2 linked regions of the Xenopus tropicalis genome follow. The protein of the gene in region 2 interacts with the protein of the main gene of each other region in a biochemical or structural test. Links are inferred from orthologs where the notes say so. Each region holds a gene or a part of one and is shown on either strand. Other genes may lie near its edges.

Region 1 (3,654 bases), on a different chromosome or scaffold from region 2:
ACAGGTACTGTTTTATTATTACAGAGAAAAGGGAATCATTTAACCATGAAATAAACCCAATAGGGCTGTTCTGCCCCCAATAAGGGGTAATTATATCTTATTTGGGATCAAGTACAGGTACTGTTTTATTATTACAGAGAAAAAGAAAGGATTATTTGATTTAAATGGAGTCTACGGGAAATTACCTTCCCATAATTTCAAGCATTCTGGAAACCGGTTTCCAGATAACAGATCCTATACCTGTACAATAATGAACCTCTGCTGCACTACAAACTCCTTTTTTTGCTTCCCCCTTAATTGCTAATCTGTGTGTGGCCCTTGCCTACCTGCCTGCCTTTCCGTCACCAACATAACAATCTGTGCTAGTACTGCTTGCAAGATTAGCCTTTCAGCCCCCCCCAGTGCTGGAGTAGATCTTTTGTGCAGAAAAATTAAGCAGGGAGGCATAAATCATCAAGTAACGGGTATAAACTAAAAGCACCAGTAAAAAAAAGAGCAGTACAGAGAGTTTTCAGAAAGGAGTTTTTGTGTATTCATGAGAAGTAGTAAAACACAATAACGTTACCAATGGCCATAAAGATTTCATTCACATTCATTGCGGTTTTAGCAGAGGTCTCCATAAAGAGCAGGCTGTTGTCATCAGCGTATGCCTGAGCTTCCTGCAAATGGAACATTCCATGGTGAGCAAAATAAACCAAGGTATCAGTTAGAAGCAATATATCTGGAACACAATAGATCACTGGGAAAACCAGCAGAGGGGAGCTGACATTTAGTACTGAGATAGATAAATATGCCGGCACAGGAAACATCTGGAGGGATCCATGGAGCCAGCTATTGGGAATTATAACAGCACTGCTCTAAAGGCCCCCGTACACGGGCCAATAGTAGGTGCCGATATGGGTCCCTTAGACAGATTCTGCAGCTAATCGGCCCGTGTATGGGCACTACCGACGGGCACTACCGACGGGCCTACACACCTGTAGGTGGTGATATCGTGAGAAGATCCGCTGGCTTGGCGATCTGCCAGTGTACGGGGACCTTTACACTAGCCAATTGGTTGAGCTGGGAGAGTGCACTAGAGGAGACTGGATGAGCTACAGGCAATGTGACAGCCTTACCTATACGTTGCTAGGGTGAGCTCCACTAAGCAGGGATGAGTCTTCTGCCCATAGTGCAGGCACAGGGAAGGAGCACAGAAGGGCAGTAGTTCAAGGGGCAGACAATGAGGAGAGCACTATGGGCTGGGGTAAGATGCACGGGAATATATATAAATAACAGAGTCAGGCCGGGCAGTGCCATGCATGGACTTGGGATTGACTACAGAATTTCAAAGGAACAGCTCTGTGTAAAAATGAAACGGGGTAAAATAGACAGTCTGTGCAAAATAAAAAATATTTTCAATATAGTTAGGCAAAAATGTAATCTATAAAGGCTGGAGTGGGCAGATGTCTAACATAATAGCCAGAACACTACTTCCTGCTTTCAGCTCTCTAACCTCTTAGTTAGTTAGTGACTTTAGGCGGGGCCATATGGGACATAAGTGTTCAGTTAGTTTGTGAGCACACGGGTCACATTCAAATGCAAACTGACAGTTATGTCCCATGTGGCCCCCCCCTAAAGTCACTGACTGACTAAGAGGTTAGAGAGCTGAAAGCAGGAAGTAGTGTTCTGGCTATTATGTTAGACATCTGCCCACTCCAGCCTTTATAGATTACATTTTTGCCTAACTAACTATACTGAAAACATTTTTTATTTTTCTCTCTCTTACAAAAGTAAATATATTTTAAAAAGTGTACTTTTCACCTTTACATTAACTTTTAGTATGACACAGAGAGTGCTATTTTGAAACAATTTGCAATTGGTCTTCATTTTTTTTTATTATTGATTTTTTTTTAGTTATTTTAATTTTGTTCTGCAATTCTCCAGCTTGGAATTTCAGCAGTTATCTGGCTGCTAGGATCCAATTTACCTTAGTAACAAGGGAGTGATTTGAGAGATTGACCGATATTTGAATAGGAGAGGGGCTGAATAGAAAAATAAGTAATAGAAAGTAACAATATTAATAAAACTGGAGCCTCACAGAGCAATAGTTTTGGCTGCCGGGGTCAGTGACCCCCATTTGAAAGCTGCAAAGAGGCAGAACAGGAAGGCGAATAATGCAAAAACTATAAATGATAAAAAATGAAGACTAATTGAAAAGTTGCTTACAATTAGCCAATCTATAACATATTAAACGTTAAAGGTGAACCAAACCATTAGTATGATATTTCTTAAAAACAAACAAGCTCACCTGAAAATCCACAGCTCTCTTACTGGAGAGGTCGGCTTTGTTCCCAGATAAGGCAATGACAATGTTGGGACTTGCCTGACGCTGAAGTTCTTTTACCCAGTTTTTTGCTCTTGCAAATGTTTCCTACAGAACAAAGTACAGAGCTTTAAAAGAAATTCATAGAGAAAAGTGTTGTACTGAGAACATTCACCTTGAAAATAACTTTTACTAAGATGTAGACGTTGATATTCTCAGACAATTTGCAATTGGTCTTTATTTTTTTTGTAGTTTGTCAGTCGTTTAGCAACCGGATAGCTGCTGAAATTACAAACTGGAGAGCCGCTGAACTGAAAGTTCAGCGGCTCTCCAGTTTGGAATTTCAGCAGCTACCCAGTTGCTAGAGTCTTGTTTACCTTAGCAACCAGGCAGTGGGTGTGAATGAGAGACTGGAATATGAATAGAGGAGGGACTAAATAAAAAGATAAGGAATACAAAGTAATAATTCAAATACAATTGTAAGAAGAAGGTTTTTTTGGCTGCTGGGGGTCAGTGACCCCCCCCCCCCCCCCATGTGGAAAGATGTAGACAAAGAAGGCAAATAATAAAAACTATAAAAAAGAAATAATGAAGACCAATTGCAAAGTTGCTAGGAATAGTACATTCTGTAACATATTAAAATTGCCTTAATTGCTATCTTCTTTTATTATTAAAACCTTCAAAATGTCAAATTTTTCTTGAAAACTGAAATTTGAAAATAGCTTTTTTTTTTTTTAATACAAATTGAACATTTAGGTCTCTTTCTGTAAAATCTGAAATTTTGCAAAAATTCAAGTGTTTTTTTTTCCATGAAACTGAAAAAAAGCAGTATAAAAAAACCTCAAAATCATAAATCTGTCGTATAATGTCAAGAATAAATATTTACCATTGAGGGGGAAAAAAAGTGGAAAGTTGCTTGAGTCACTGCCTTTTGTACTTTGTACTAAAAATTTATCCAAAAAAGTGCTGGTACTAGAGAGCCTTCCCATTGGCTGCTTTCCCAGTCTGTGACAAGAGAGCCAGCAGCAGGACCTTCCCCGCGTGGAGGCAGATCTGTGATTGGCTGCTCTCTGGAGAGGGGCAATTAGGACAAGGACTGAGCAGAGAGATAGGGCATTATTTCATGTAATGTGCACTTACTGTATTGGTGATGTCATAAACTACAATGGCTGCCTGGGCTCCTCGGTAGTACATGGGGGCCAAACTGTGATACCTCTCCTGCCCTGCCGTGTCCCAGATCTCAAACTTCACCGTTGTATCATCCAAACATAAGGTCTGTGTTAGAAAGGCAGCTGGAGATAGAAGTACATAATATTATTGTTATTATTATATACATATTAGCACTATTA
Region 2 (4,316 bases):
TTTCTCTTCTGACATGCCTTTCCCAGTTCATGCTGGGTAATGTAGTTTGTATCTTACAATTAGCCTACAGCTAAGATTAATATAAAACTACAATACCCAGCATGCAATTATAGACAGAAGCTCCCTTTTCTATTCCTCTGTACTGAACCTGAAGCAGCAAAACTACAATACCCTGCATGGACTGGGCACAGAGGGCAGGGAAACATCCCAGTAACTGGAGAGGGGGCGCAGGGCATGGGTAGGGATTATACGCTTTAAAAAGGCATGTTTTTTAGAATTTTTTTTCATTGAGCATATTGGGCTATTTTCAAAGTGGCTTTTGGCTAGTTTTGGGCTGGTTTTAGAACTGACTTTGGCTGGTTTGTAAAAATAAATCTGGCAACCCTGCCTCTGGCCAAATCCAAGGGTTACAGGGCTGATTGCCCCCTCACGCTACAGCACTGAATTCAATCATATAGTGACTATAGTCAATCATATAGTAACTATAGTCAATCATATAGTAACTATAGTCAATCATATAGTAACTATAGTCAATCATATAGTAACTGTAGTCAATCATATAGTAACTGTAGTCAATCATATAGTAACTATAGTCAATCATATAGTAACTATAGTCAATCATATAGTAACTGTAGTCAATCATATAGTAACTATAGTCAATCATATAGTAACTGTAGTCAATCATATAGTAACTATAGTCAATCATATAGTAACTATAGTCAATCATATAGTAACTATAGTCAATCATATAGTAACTATAGTCAATCATATAGTAACTGTAGTCAATCATATAGTAACTATAGTCAATCATATAGTAACTATAGTCAATCATATAGTAACTATAGTCAATCATATAGTAACTGTAGTCAATCATATAGTAACTATAGTCAATCATATAGTAACTGTAGTCAATCATATAGTAACTGCACAAACTTTATTAACCCCTTCCCCCCCATAGAAGAGAATGGATAAGAATGAAATTCTAAGCAATTTGTATATGTAATTGCTACCTATAGCAGTGCCTGCCCAGCTGTTACAGTCTCTGCATTGCTTGCTCTGGCTCCCGAACTTAACATGGGAAACTTATTGCAAACAACATTTTTTTGGGGATCGCCCTTACAGCCAATTAGCACCACGCCCATTCCCATAGGGAAGCCTTAGCTACTGGGGTCCCAAAGCCCCACCCTAATGGCAGCTCGTTGTGTATTACACTAGTTTCCTTCCTGACTGCGACCATTACTTCCCCCCCCTGTCCCTCAGGCTCCCTCTCCCTCAGGCTCCCCTCTCCCTCCAGCCCACATTTCCCGTTTATCTCCTCACTCCTGGCCGTGCCTGTCACAGGCAGATCCAACATCCTCTCTTGCCCCGCCCCCTCCCCTAGCTCGGCCTATCGATGACTCGGCTATCTACTCCTATTTCTCAGGCTGAGTGGCAGCCCGGACTGGGACGACAGAGCAATCGATTCGGGAGTGACAGCCATGGCGCCCGGAGAACTGACAGGGAGTCACTATTGGAAGCGGCGGCTGTAGAAGAAGGAATTGTAGCGGTAGGTGTAGGGGTGGGCAGCTGGGTGCCAGACCTTGGCCTGTGATGGATACGTAAGGGGGAAGGACAGCTGAGGATTTGGGGTAGTGGGGGTAGTGTAGCTGTATCCAGGGGTGGAATGAACCCTCCAGCTGTGGCAGAATGCGACTCCCTGTATCGCTTTGTCAGCAGGGCTAGGGGCAGAATGCTGGGGTTGTACTGCTGCCAAACGCTCAATCTCTAATTCTGTTGTATTTAATTATAGAGCAGCTCAAGTGCAGTAATTATATATTGGAGAGTGAGTAACAATGTGTAAGTGCTGGGGGTTACAGCGAGTAACAATGCGTAAGTGCTGGGGGTTACAGTGAGTAACAATGTGTAAGTGCTGGGGGTTACAGTGAGTAACAATGTGTAAGTGCTGGGGGTTACAGTGAGTAACAATGTGTAAGTGCTGGGGGTTACAGCGAGTAACAATGTGTAAGTGCTGGGGGTTACAGCGAGTAGCAATGTGTAAGTGCTGGGGGTTACAGGGAGTAGCAATGCGTAAGTGCTGGGGGTTACAGCGAGTAACAATGTGTAAGTGCTGGGGGTTACAGTGAGTAACAATGTGTAAGTGCTGGGGGTTACAGTGAGTAACAATGTGTAAGTGCTGGGGGTTACAGTGAGTAACAATGTGTAAGTGCTGGGGGTTACAGTGAGTAACAATGTGTAAGTGCTGGGGGTTACAGTGAGTAACAATGTGTAAGTGCTGGGGGTTACAGTGAGTAACAATGTGTAAGTGCTGGGGGTTACAGTGAGTAACAATGTGTAAGTGCTGGGGGTTACAGCGAGTAACAATGCGTAAGTGCTGGGGGTTACAGTGAGTAACAATGTGTAAGTGCTGGGGGTTACAGGGAGTAACAATGCGTAAGTGCTGGGGGTTACAGGGAGTAACAATGCGTAAGTGCTGGGGGTTACAGGGAGTAACAATGCGTAAGTGCTGGGGGTTACAGGGAGTAACAATGCGTAAGTGCTGGGGGTTACAGCGAGTAACAATGCGTAAGTGCTGGGGGTTACAGCGAGTAACAATGCGTAAGTGCTGGGGGTTACAGGGAGTAACAATGCGTAAGTGCTGGGGGTTACAGGGAGTAACAATGCGTAAGTGCTGGGGGTTACAGGGAGTAACAATGCGTAAGTGCTGGGGGTTACAGGGAGTAACAATGCGTAAGTGCTGGGGGTTACAGGGAGTAACAATGCGTAAGTGCTGGGGGTTACAGGGAGTAACAATGCGTAAGTGCTGGGGGTTACAGGGAGTAACAATGCGTAAGTGCTGGGGGTTACAGCGAGTAACAATGCGTAAGTGCTGGGGGTTACAGGGAGTAACAATGCGTAAGTGCTGGGGGTTACAGGGAGTAACAATGCGTAAGTGCTGGGGGTTACAGCGAGTAACAATGCGTAAGTGCTGGGGGTTACAGCGAGTAACAATGCGTAAGTGCTGGGGGTTACAGCGAGTAACAATGTGTAAGTGCTGGGGGTTACAGTACACAATAGGGATGAGGTCCCTACACTGAAGAGCTTACAGTCTAGTCTGGAGCTTGGGATGCCTGGAGCTATTGGCAGGTACAGGGGAGCGTTGGCAAGGTGGGCAGGAGGGCCACAGTACCCCCATCAGAAACCAATATGTCCTGGGACCCCCAGACATTTGATTTGATGCCCCTATACATATGTTACATTTGGGGTCCCCATGCCACAAACAATGACATATATATATTCTGAGGGCCTTATTAATGACACTGTTCCATACCCGCCTATCACACAGCAGAGAAGCAGCACCCATAATGATCAGTTAATCATAAGAGAAGCATTAGGAGGTTGGTCAAAGAACCAATGGTCTGTCAGTCATTTGTATATTGGGTGACGCTAAACTGACCCGATTTGATGTTAAATTTCAATTAATATTATACTGTGTGGTTCTGAAGAATTATGTTGAGAGGTAGGCAATGGGATGGGCCAGTTATATCACTTTAGTGCCAATAATTCTTATTGACAGCCCACCCCTGGTCAGGGTGAATATTTCTAGGGGGGTGGAGGACACAGGGTATAGCTGTAACAAGAACTCCATGAATAGCCTGTTAAAAATATATATGAAATATTGTACCCCCTGTTGTATAATATAAGGATGCTAGAGGTCATTAAGGAGTTCCCTGACCTGTATAAAAAGCCTGCAGCCTAGGAACTGCCAAGGTAATCTGACAGATATAGCCTTCTGCTTGCCAAATAGACTTCTAACTGTATGGAAATGCCCTTGTTTGCCCAAGTACTTTTAACCCAGCAGCTATTAAGAATTAACAATTGAGTTGTTAAACAATAACTGGAATCTGTTTGCAGTCCTCAGCTGTGCCAGAGTCATAACATGCACACTAATACTTACCCTTGTGTTTCACTGCTTACCCCTGGTACATCCCCGGGGATCTCACCTTTGAGGTGGTTGCTGGTTTCTTAGCACCCCCCCCCCCTCCGATAATATTGTCTGAATTATAATTCTTTCTTTAAATGATGGAAGCATCCTTGTGCCGATAGTCAATGTCATGAAAAGGTGAATGTAAGGATTATATATGTTCTGTGGTTTGTATAACTGTCAGGGATATGAGAAGCTGTGAGAGGTGTTTTTCTGAATCGGATATATTCACTAATCATATCTTTACCCGACTTATTTAGGGCAGCGAGTGGATACCATACACCAGCATGGCATCATTCGATGAGCAGGGGGAAGTCAGAGAAGGGTTCCTTTGCCCTTTGTGCCTGAAAGATCT

Evidence for each region. The genes of interacting proteins can lie anywhere in the genome.
Region 1: the proteins of rbsn (region 2) and rab5c form a complex in vitro, tested with the Homo sapiens proteins (2 studies listed by BioGRID and IntAct, with this or other methods). The link is inferred for Xenopus tropicalis from reciprocal best matches to the Homo sapiens genes RBSN and RAB5C.

The regions. Positions count from the first base shown.
Region 1 is NC_030686.2:6,904,657-6,908,310, reverse strand, and holds part of rab5c (ras-related protein Rab-5C), read right to left. Parts: intron 3,598-3,654; coding exon 3,446-3,597; intron 2,414-3,445; coding exon 2,291-2,413; intron 660-2,290; coding exon 566-659; intron 1-565. UniProt on the Homo sapiens protein: The small GTPases Rab are key regulators of intracellular membrane trafficking, from the formation of transport vesicles to their fusion with membranes.
Region 2 is NC_030680.2:132,257,274-132,261,589, forward strand, and holds the start of rbsn (rabenosyn-5), read left to right. Parts: upstream 1-1,388; 5' UTR 1,389-1,393; coding exon 1,394-1,546; intron 1,547-4,221; coding exon 4,222-4,316. UniProt on the Homo sapiens protein: Rab4/Rab5 effector protein acting in early endocytic membrane fusion and membrane trafficking of recycling endosomes. Required for endosome fusion either homotypically or with clathrin coated vesicles.